3 linked regions of the Bombyx mori genome follow. The main gene of each other region encodes a partner of the protein of the gene in region 3 in a complex. Links are inferred from orthologs where the notes say so. Each region holds a gene or a part of one and is shown on either strand. Other genes may lie near its edges.

Region 1 (2,586 bases), on a different chromosome or scaffold from region 3:
AAGACTTTGGTATTATGTATATATTGTGGCTTTGTTCAAATTTAATATGAAATGTATTTATGTCATAAGTATTGGAATGCTACATGTCCTGAATACATGTCCATAGCAGTTTTCATTATGTATTGAGATTTCAAAATTAGATTAGCATTTGCCAAAATAAAATTTCCATCACTGTTTTAGTTTTGTTTCCTTTACGGGATCTGCTTGTAGTCTACATATATGCAAAATGTCAATTGAACATTAGTCAGGTTCTCTCATTGAATTTTTTTCTCAATTCGACTGGGTATCCGTAAATGGATTCCCTAGGGGGTTCTCTCATTTATGTTCAATCTGAGAGCTGACTTCCTTTCACCACTAGAAATTGAACATGTGAAAATTCTGTATGATATTATAACTTTATAAATGTTTTCCTTTCAAATGGTTTTTCTGGGACCCAGAACATGAAACCTTTAAATTTTCTTAATTGAAGATTTTCTAAATGATTTAAGTTTCTTAAAAAGAAAACAAATTTCTTTAATAAGGTTTTTCATTTATTTTAGCTTACATGACCTGCGAGTAAAACTGCTATGTTCTTACACATACTTTTAATTTCATCGTTACTCAAATATTCTGAGCCCAAAATCGCGTTTCCTAGAGCCAATGTCTCTCTCATAGTGTTTGCTTTGATCCAAATCCTTCCATTCATGCCAGCTGCTAATTCAAATGGCCATTCGTTCTTTAATGAGTTCAATAATGGACAATGTGGGTTTAATATTTTTCTGATTAAATTCAAAGAGCATTTGAATACGAATCCTTCTTCTAATACTCCTAGTCGGCCTTTTTTTCCATGCGAATCAACGCACACAAGCTCTGGTTCCATATCTTTGCTTGCGTTTAACATTTTCGCGTACACAACATCGCCTGTTTTGATTGCGGGACGGTTTTTCTTCGTCGCTCCTTCGAACGACAGATATGACAGCGATGCGGCACAACTCCCCCCGACGTCCACACGGAAAATATCGCCCGCTTTCTGTACCACGGTACCGATCACATTTTCACCTCTAGAAGGCACATAGCGCTTCTGATAATTGTCCACCCAGTATGTATTTGGTGTTCGTTTCCGTAATACGCCTGGTTTTGTTATAAAAACACCGTTAATTTCTTTGCGAAGTCCAGGACCTAGTAGAACTTTTCCTTTTTCGCCAGCCGCCACGATCTCTGGACAGTGATCTCCAGGTAAAACTACATCATCTATTGAAACGTTCATGATATTTTTGTTCTATTTTAGTGAGAATTATAAATGAACACACAAATAAATACAAAGCCCTAACCTCTAAAACAGCAATGTTTATTTGATTTGATTGGTCCATCCAATAGGCAAAGAAAACATAGCGCATAGGTACCTACCAGTTAAATCTTATGCATTTAATTGTTGTATGAAAAATGAAATTTAGGCGAAGGAAATAAAATTAAGTAATGATAACATTAAATGTGTTGAGCCGAAACCAGTACCCATGTATGTAATTCTGATATCCATTGAAATAATGCTGACTTTAGGTTCCATCACAGAATACCATAATATGTCTAGGAAAGCTGCGTAATCATAGTCAAATAAACTAACTTCACTTCATTTCATTCATCCACATCATTTTCTATAGAAATATACCACAATATTTAAAAGATAGTATATGGTCTGATACTTTTGCCTTTCTAGATGAAAAAATACAACTATTGCTATTACTTTGACACTTTTGACAGTTGACTAACTCGCAGTGCCTAGAGGTTTGCACATGTTCGCTGTTTACATATCACCGAAAAACTAATTCGGAGTATTAGTTATATTAAAATGCCCGCAGTAATTGAAAATGACGTAATAAAATACAAGGGCAGCAATTACTTTCGTCAAAGATTGCTACTTTCGACTCTCAGTGGGCGTGCTATTAAAATAGAAGACATTCGCAGTACCAACGATGACCCGGGTCTTCGGGAATATGAAGTCAGTTTAATTCGGCTACTGGATAAAGTGACGAACGGTACTAGAGTCGAGCTGAGCGAAACCGGTACTTCAGTATATTACCAGCCTGGTATACTGATTGGTGGACAAGTTAATCACAACTGTTGTACCCAGAGAGGGATAGGTAAGTGGTCTTCAATAAAGTTTCTACTCACGTCAAATACGTTATTAGGAATGTAGTTTTCTAAATTAGAAGATTATATATTAGTTTGATTACAGCTGGAAATTCAGACAATTCAGCATACACATTCTCCTGATAGCTAAAAGCATGGAGAGTCTAGTTCAGTGGAGCAAGGCATGGACATAATAAATATTGTTAATATATACTATAGGATGGGATAATAAATCTTTTGTCAGGCATGCAACCGTCTAGGAGAGTCCAGTTTAAATACTAAAATAAGTTTTGACAGAGTGAGGACGCCTTGGTTGTTTTTGAAAGTAGTTTTAGTGACATCAGCTTGACTGATGTAACTATCTAAACTAAATCAAACCATACCATGGTCTGAACATTAACTCAGCATTTAAATACTTCCTGTTATGTTCATCCTCGGACTGACAAATTGAAATTAAAAAATAACCTTTTTAGGTTATTA
Region 2 (3,594 bases), on a different chromosome or scaffold from region 3:
CAACTGCCGTCCTTTCTTAAGACATGTGTCCTTACAGTCTGTACAACTGTAACTCATTACCTAACGCTTCAGGAAAAAATAAGCCAATGGAAATGAAAACCAATTATTATGGAAATTAAAATTTTTACAGGTTTGATTTTTATTACATGATGTCAATCCTTCAAGGTGAAAAAAGTACACTTAAACTTTTAGTTATTATGTTTTGTTGCTGCTTGAAGAATGCAGTCCGTGGGAGTAACCCAGAAAAACGAATATGTTAACAAGGCCGCCGAAGCGGTACAGCTGGTGTTCAGGGGTACTACCTTAGACTAAAACCAATGTGCTTGGTTACAGCCAAATTAATACCCAGAGTTTGCGAGTATTCAACAGTCAGCAAAAATTTTTAACCCTTGACTTTGGTAATAGTTTTACTCTCATAATCAACATTCCAAGTTTCAGAAATAGATTAGAGTTAATATAATTTTTTATGAATACATTGTTTGCCTAAAATTTAATAAAATAAAACATGTCTGTAATTGAAATAAAAATTATTTATCAGTGTGATGATTGTCTTGCTTTGAATGAACTGGAAAGAGTGATTGATTAATATTTTCCGGTATAACTCTAGCAACTTTCCTTGGTTCTTTGACTAGAGTTTTAGGGCACTGCATCTCTGACCAGCTTATTGGTACCATGCTGACCCCTTGCGGTGATCCTTCAGCTGTAGCGATAACAACTCCCAGTTCATTTTCTGCAGTCGATAATTGGTACCAGTGGATTTCCGTCATTGGTAACTGAATTCCAGTTTAGGAAAATGATTATATATTATTTAATATTCAGTGAATATAATAGATGTATTTTTCAAGCTTGAGTAGACATAGAGTTTGATGTTATACAAAACCAAAACTGCATTCTATTTTGCAGTATAATCATAATTTCTAAGCAAATGTGACTCCAAAATCCCACAATGCTCAAGTGTTTCATGTGGTAGGCAAACTATAAGGTTAGTACATAATGTAAAGACCCATCTAATGAGTCAAATACAAACAAAGAGTAAGTCATTATTAAAAGTGAAAAGGTTTTTTGAATACTAACAAGTTTATAATATTGTAAAGGATACAACTCTAGCTAGTATAATATCTCCAGGTCTAAAACATTTATATGGATCAACTCTGTCTTTCTCTGTTGCCTTTATATCTTCTTTTTTTAATATTCCTTTGTACATTCTAACAAGTACTGAAGGGCCAACACAGAGGATTAGGCATTGTACAGTTCTTGGATTTACAACTGTTACTTTTGCGGTTACTATGTCACCTGTGTTGGGTAAAACACTTGGTGTTCTTGAACTTTCTACTGAAATTATATTAGCCTAAAAAATTTTCAATCATTAGTTTAATTTATAGGTTTTTTCATTTGTTTCATTTTCTATTTTGTTGAAATAGAATTCTGGGGTGAATTTAGAATTTCATCTGCTATTGCATAAAAAAATATTCTGCTGCTAAAAGAAGCGTCTGCTTGAAATAGTGAGCAAGCCTAAACTAAAGACCATAAAACCGAGTGTCCATAAGTGTCTTCTACAGGCAGTAAATTCCATATGATATACCTGTTAAGCTACAGTACCTATCTTCGTCCATGGTAATGTAGTGTTTTGCAGAGCATATTTATGGGCATTTTAAGTCACAATTAAAGAGGCACGGATGACGGTTGCAATAAAATCGTTTTAGCAATCAGTGGCAGCTTATACAAAGACTGTAACGTTATTTACTTTGGTGTTTTCATCCTCTTCTGTTTTCAAGATTCCAGCTAAAGCCGCATAAATATATCCTTTCAATTCATAGGTTCCCGGCCCTGATACGTTGTCTTTGTTTGATAAACTCAGTCGCATTCCAGGAATACATATTGAACCTATTTCTTTTATTTTTTCTTCCAAATTCATAATGTAGTAGAGGTTAGAATTTACAATTTAACTTGAACTACAACTTAAAGTTCGGTTAGATTATTTTCGTCACAGCTAAAACGTGTCTTTAATTGTAAACTGTCTTATAATAGTGTGTTGAACTGTGTTGTTTATTAATTCCAGTTACAGTTTGTTATTTGTTATGTACATAAGTTAAGATCACAGAACACTATTACTTCTAGCGAAGATAAGATTCTCAAATAAATTAGGTGTATAATCTATGGTTATGATCTTTTTTTTAATCGCGTAGTGAAATCATAGATTATACAAAAGTGCAAATGTTTTTTTGTTCGTTCTTTGATTAATTAAGTAAAAGAAACAAAGTTTATAGAGCTTAATCATTTCGTAATAGAGGGTGACATTTCTTCCATGAAACGTACAACGCAACGAAATCAATTTTTATTTAAATTGTTGAGATGTGACATTCCCTTTGTAAAATCCCGGATAACTCAGTCAGAGCATGAGACTCATAATCTCAGAGTCGTCATTCGAGACCCACGTTGGGCTATTTACATTTTGATCTCAGGTAAGCTTTTCTCCACGTGCCCCTTAGGTGCGAGGACCTTGTAAACCAAGAATAATAAAAATATTTGCGTTGTCGACTGGTACTACTGGAACTAATGTGGATTTACTGTAGATCATTCATTGGTGGTGTGAGCCAGCACAAGCAAATACCAGTACTCTGCCTATTCAATTATTCTGTCACGAAGCAGTAATGCATTTCTGTATGAAGGATGGGGCAGCTGTTGTACTTTAATACTGAGACTTAAAACTCATATCTAGGGATCGATAGTGGCATTAAGGTTACGATGTCTCTGGGTTTTATTTCAGAAAGAAATTATAAAGGACTTGGCTTCTGCCTTAATGATTTTTTTATTTCAGGATATAATATAAATCATATAAGACCTGGCTTCGGCTTTTTTGAAAATTCATTTTAGAAATTATATACAACACACAAGGCTGTATGGGTTTAGATCCCCTTGCCTTTCCTAATAAGGAAAAATTGAATCAAAAAATGTCTATGGGCTCTAGTGACCACTTAATACCAGATGGGCCTGGACTTTGTCTCGTCTCTCACTCGTCTAAATAATTAAAAAATATTGTTGCAGTAAGCAATGGCGTTGCTGGCTTTCCACTTTACTACTTTGACTACTTACCAGGTGGAACGTGTGCTCGTCTCCCTACCACGGAAAAAACGTTAGTAAGGAAGAGGGTACCACCACCACTACCACCAGTATTTGTTTTTCCTCTATTATTTCATCTACTAAAATATCATAATCGACTTGGATGATGCAAAATATTCTCACTTATTTTCGTAAAATCTTACTAGCCATAATAATATATTTTATCTACATAATTAATTACTGATTATTGTTAGTGCTACGATATGGTTCGTGAAAATCTATGTTATACTGACATCTAAGTTGAAATAAATGATTTTTGAACCTTATTTATATTATTAACTCAAAACACTCACAGCTAACATCGTCTTGGCTTATAGGATAAGACATCCGGTGCATTCGTGTTGAGCGATGCACCGGTGTTTCGAATCCCAGGCGGGTACCAATTTTACTAATGAAATACGTACTCAACAAATGTTCACGATTGACTCCCAAGGTGGAGGTATAACATCGTGTAATAAAAATCAAACCCGCAAA
Region 3 (4,190 bases):
TTTTTTATCGAGCCAATTTGGTGCAAATACTATGGTTTGTGAAGTTTCCAGTACATCATTTTTGTAAGTCGTTAACAAAGTAGTAAATAAGGTTGCCTTCTTTTGTAACGCCGTAGCAAAGCATATACATATAGGTACTAGGACCTCTTGTGAGTCCGCACGGGTAGGTGCCACTGCCCTGCCTATTTCTGCCGTGAAGCAGTAATGCGTTTCGGTTTCAAGGGTGGAGTAGACATTGTAACTATACTGAGACCTTAGAACTTACATCTCAAGGTGGGTGGCGCATTTACTTTGTAGATGTCTATGGGCTCCAGTAACCACTTAACATCAGGTGGGCTGTGAGCTCGTCCACCCACCTAAGCGATTAAAAAAATTAAAAAAGCTTTTACTTTAACAATTTAACAATTTTTAGTGCTACAAGATTATATAAAATACAGAAATTCAACAATATTAAAAATATAAACGTTTTTGTTTGAAAAAACAATAATGGAATATTGTCCATGCAGATTCGATTTTAATTCAAAGAGGCCACCTGCTTAAAGCCGCAACTAGAAAATTTCAATACTAAAATCATCCTATAAAGGTTCTTCAATCAAAATACAAAATAATATAGTTTTTTTATAAGGTATCATCCACATAAAGCTTTCATGTTTTCGTTCTTACAAAATGATCAATAGTACATTAATGGCATGTCGGCATAACTGATTACTAGGGTGATAGTCATATGTGATCACATTTGTGGTAGGTACCTACATATAAAACTAGGTTGTTAGTTTATGTAATATATAAGATTTTTTTTTGTTTTTTTTTTTTTTTGTTATGTCAAATTATAGCACGATTGTACAAGGAGCACCTCGCAAAAAGGGCTACTGTAGCTTATGGACATAACAATTCTATATGCTAACGGAGAATATTGTGGAGAAGAGTTTTTTACCCTTGAGTTGGATTGTCCGCGGCACGGAATAGATAAATAAGGTTATTTATATATTTATATACAACCTTATTTATATATAAATAAGGTTATATATAACCTTATTTATAACCTTATTTATATATATATATATTTATATATATTTATATATATAAATATTATATATATATAAATATAAATATATAATATTTATATATATAAATATTATATATTTATATATATATAAATATATAATATTTATATATATATATAAATATATATATAAATATAATATTTTTATATATAACCTTATATATAAATATTATATATTTATATATAAGGTTATATATAAATATATAATAATAAATAAGGTTATTTATATATTTATATATAACCTTATTTATCTATTCCGTGGTCCGCGGAGTAAGTGATTCTATAAAAGGCACTCACTGTACGAGTTGTACGTGTTTTCATTTTTTTATTTCTCTTGGGTGTAGTGAGGTGTGTTTTCCAAAGCTGGTCGCGTGGTAAAAAATACATAACCAAAGCCTCTCCGTAAACTTAGGTCTACATTCTAAAGGATCCGTATACCACGCGAGCAGAAACCTGTGATTTGTATGTATAGTCATCCAGGACATAGGATATTTTGCATATATAGATATATTTCGTGACGAGGTAATAACTCAATAAAAAGCTACATAGGGCAACGAAGAGCGGATAGTACAAGATCATGCCGAAGATCTCCCATGCAGTGGATCAACTAAATCAATTTCTCCGAATTTTACATTACTCCTAACAGAATGTGCCGAAAATAGTGACCAGTATAAACTCAGAAATTAGCTATAGATAGATTGCGATAGGTAGCATCTTCCTTATGTTTGCTAGACTGAATATTTCTACTCGAAATCAATAGCTGTGTGATTTTAATAGTCGACTAGCGACCTGCCCTCGCTTCGCTTCGGATACTACAATTTATTTATTATTGATTTTATTGAATTTTCATTTATACAAATCTGAACCTGAGAAAACGACGTAATATATTGTATTGGGTAATCCATAATGCTCTACCACGTGGCTCTCAAACTACTTTGTGAGCACTGCCATTACCATATCAACTTTTTTAAATACACTCACTTCTGGCTGCCTCTGGCAATTCATAGAGCTTCAAACTTACTTTACGCTCTTTCAATTGATACGCCGCTTCAATCGGAACTTGCAAACGTATTTTGCATCAGACACGTGCTGATAAAAGTCCATTGTTTATCAATATTACTTTACCTTGAAAGTTGGCATAAAATTTTCCTGAATAACTTTTGTTGCTCCAAAGAACGTCATTTGAAAGCAGTTATTGTTTTGCTGGATATGAGTCAAAAATCTGGCCCATTTCCGGAAACCAACGAATGTATTTTTTTCCTATCTATGTGATAGCTTTAGAGGCTATTTCAGCTTCACTCTAACGTGTAGGGTGTAGGTGGGCTCACGGTGCTCAAGCCGGGAGTGTTGCCAACACTGGCCCTAGCAAGAGCTGTGCTTCGCAGAATCTAGGTAGCACCGGTTGTAAAACGCGACCCGCTGAGAAGATCCGGCGAGAAACTCAGTGGGCAACTAAATGTAGTGGCGTTCATTGGTCCGCAAAACAACGATTTTCTGTAAACTGTCAAATTCATTCTTTACATGCTCTTAAGTATCTATGTTATCAATATACCTAATTCCGACCGAAGCATTTGTTTTAAACGATATTCAGTTTTTTTACATCCTCTTTTACCATATTTGCAGCACGCGTTCTGTCAATGCTATGTCAAATGCCTTATGATTTACATTAGAAAACCATTAGAAAATTTAATACGGTGGTTATTTACCTTTACATTACGCAGTTCATTTTAACATAAATAAGATTACAATTCAAAAATCGGTGTATGTGCGGTGTCATAGAATAGCAGCACCGCCCCATCTCATCCCATGGGTGTTGTAAAGGTTGTCTAAGGATGGTTCAACGGAGAATGGTTAAGTGTTTTTTAGTAGGTATCATACCAAACTGACCTATGATCGTTAACTGGCGTTCCCTGGGTTGGTTGTGGGGCCGTGAGCTCGTTCACCTATCTACGCAAAAAAATGTAGTTTGCGTATTAATTGGGACATTAAGCTCACATCGAATATGTAAGAGAGCACTGGTAAGTAAAATAATTATATTATTTATTTTAGCAGTAAAACATTAATGGGGTTTGGTGGTTTGAAAGATGTTTATAGAATACAATTTGAATTTCGAGCTCTGCCCATATCCCAGGTGTTGTTATTCATATCTTAGCTTGTGCCTATATAGTTTGTGTTTGTGTCAGCCGCTTACGTACCTGCCTATCTGTTCACCTGTGCCCCAGATATTACTTGAGCTCCTGTGCTACTCTAGAGTTCGAACAAAATGTAATTTTTATCAATCATAGAATTAAAATTTTTAATATATACATTTTAAGTATTATTATATAATATTTATAATATTTACATTTGTCCGAGCCGTAGCACAGTACGGATCTCTCCGGAACGTTGTTACGCTCCTCGTGAAATATACGCAGTTCTCGTGAAGTTTTAAGTATTAATTAAGATCTGAGGTCGAGACTTATCTAGGTTGGATTAACCAGGAGCCGAAGAGCGCATGATCAGAATTGTATCATTTTCACAGTTCGATGTCGCTTCAAATTTAGTATCTGTTAACGTACCTATATAAAAAGTGAAACAAAATCTGTGGACGTGACTTTTCGAGGTCTTCCAAAAAGGTTTTGGAAGTACCTAGTACATTTCTATATGTAGCAAACGCCACCAGTTGCTGTAGAGTAATTCCATAATCCACAATAATTCCTTTGAAGTTTCAATAAATTTTCACAATATGACAGGTCATTTTAATTTAATCACAGCTAATTTAAATTAAACAGTTAAAGGTGTGACTTTCATTTGGTTTAGTTCTTTAGGCTATATTCCCTTTGCCTGTTTAATTGAACAAGTGGAATTAAAAAAAAAGTTTAACAGATAACCTAAGAAAAATAATCACACATTTATTGCTAGGTATGCCTCTTTAAACAGAATATTCACAAAAAAATATGAACCAATAACAAAATGCGTGATACTTGTTTATCGAATTGTGAAAAGAATTTCATACAAAAGATCGTATCTCAAGGACATGTAAGTTGAAACTAATAGAATATAACCTAAGACTCTTCTACAAAAGTAATTTGGAAATAAATTGATTACAGCGCTTGGACGGTCGAAATTTTAATGAAACCCGAAAACT

What was found. Proteins that work in one complex are often made in the same cells at the same time.
Region 1: exosome complex component RRP45 (region 3) and Rrp40 share a complex: the UniProt entries of both Homo sapiens proteins name them as parts of the RNA exosome core complex. The link is inferred for Bombyx mori from reciprocal best matches to the Homo sapiens genes EXOSC9 and EXOSC3.
Region 2: exosome complex component RRP45 (region 3) and exosome complex component CSL4 share a complex: the UniProt entries of both Homo sapiens proteins name them as parts of the RNA exosome core complex. The link is inferred for Bombyx mori from reciprocal best matches to the Homo sapiens genes EXOSC9 and EXOSC1.

Annotation. Positions count from the first base shown.
Region 1 is NC_085114.1:14,716,212-14,718,797, reverse strand, and holds Rrp40 (exosome complex exonuclease Rrp40), read right to left. Parts: upstream 1,326-2,586; 5' UTR 1,247-1,325; coding exon 536-1,246; 3' UTR 513-535; downstream 1-512. Other genes in the region: probable RNA 3'-terminal phosphate cyclase-like protein, read left to right, coding at 1,826-2,117, 2,580-2,586. UniProt on the Homo sapiens protein: Non-catalytic component of the RNA exosome complex which has 3'->5' exoribonuclease activity and participates in a multitude of cellular RNA processing and degradation events.
Region 2 is NC_085132.1:3,512,785-3,516,378, reverse strand, and holds exosome complex component CSL4, read right to left. Parts: upstream 2,277-3,594; 5' UTR 1,916-2,276; coding exon 1,745-1,915; intron 1,349-1,744; coding exon 1,100-1,348; intron 774-1,099; coding exon 528-773; 3' UTR 513-527; downstream 1-512. UniProt on the Homo sapiens protein: Non-catalytic component of the RNA exosome complex which has 3'->5' exoribonuclease activity and participates in a multitude of cellular RNA processing and degradation events.
Region 3 is NC_085119.1:13,155,623-13,159,812, reverse strand, and holds the start of exosome complex component RRP45, read left to right. Parts: upstream 1-1,374; 5' UTR 1,375-1,411; intron 1,412-1,490; 5' UTR 1,491-1,525; intron 1,526-2,617; exon of another isoform or gene 2,618-2,686; 5' UTR 2,687-3,081; intron 3,082-3,258; exon of another isoform or gene 3,259-3,310; intron 3,311-3,407; exon of another isoform or gene 3,408-3,498; intron 3,499-3,621; exon of another isoform or gene 3,622-3,852; intron 3,853-3,964; 5' UTR 3,965-4,015; coding exon 4,016-4,081; intron 4,082-4,152; coding exon 4,153-4,190. UniProt on the Homo sapiens protein: Non-catalytic component of the RNA exosome complex which has 3'->5' exoribonuclease activity and participates in a multitude of cellular RNA processing and degradation events.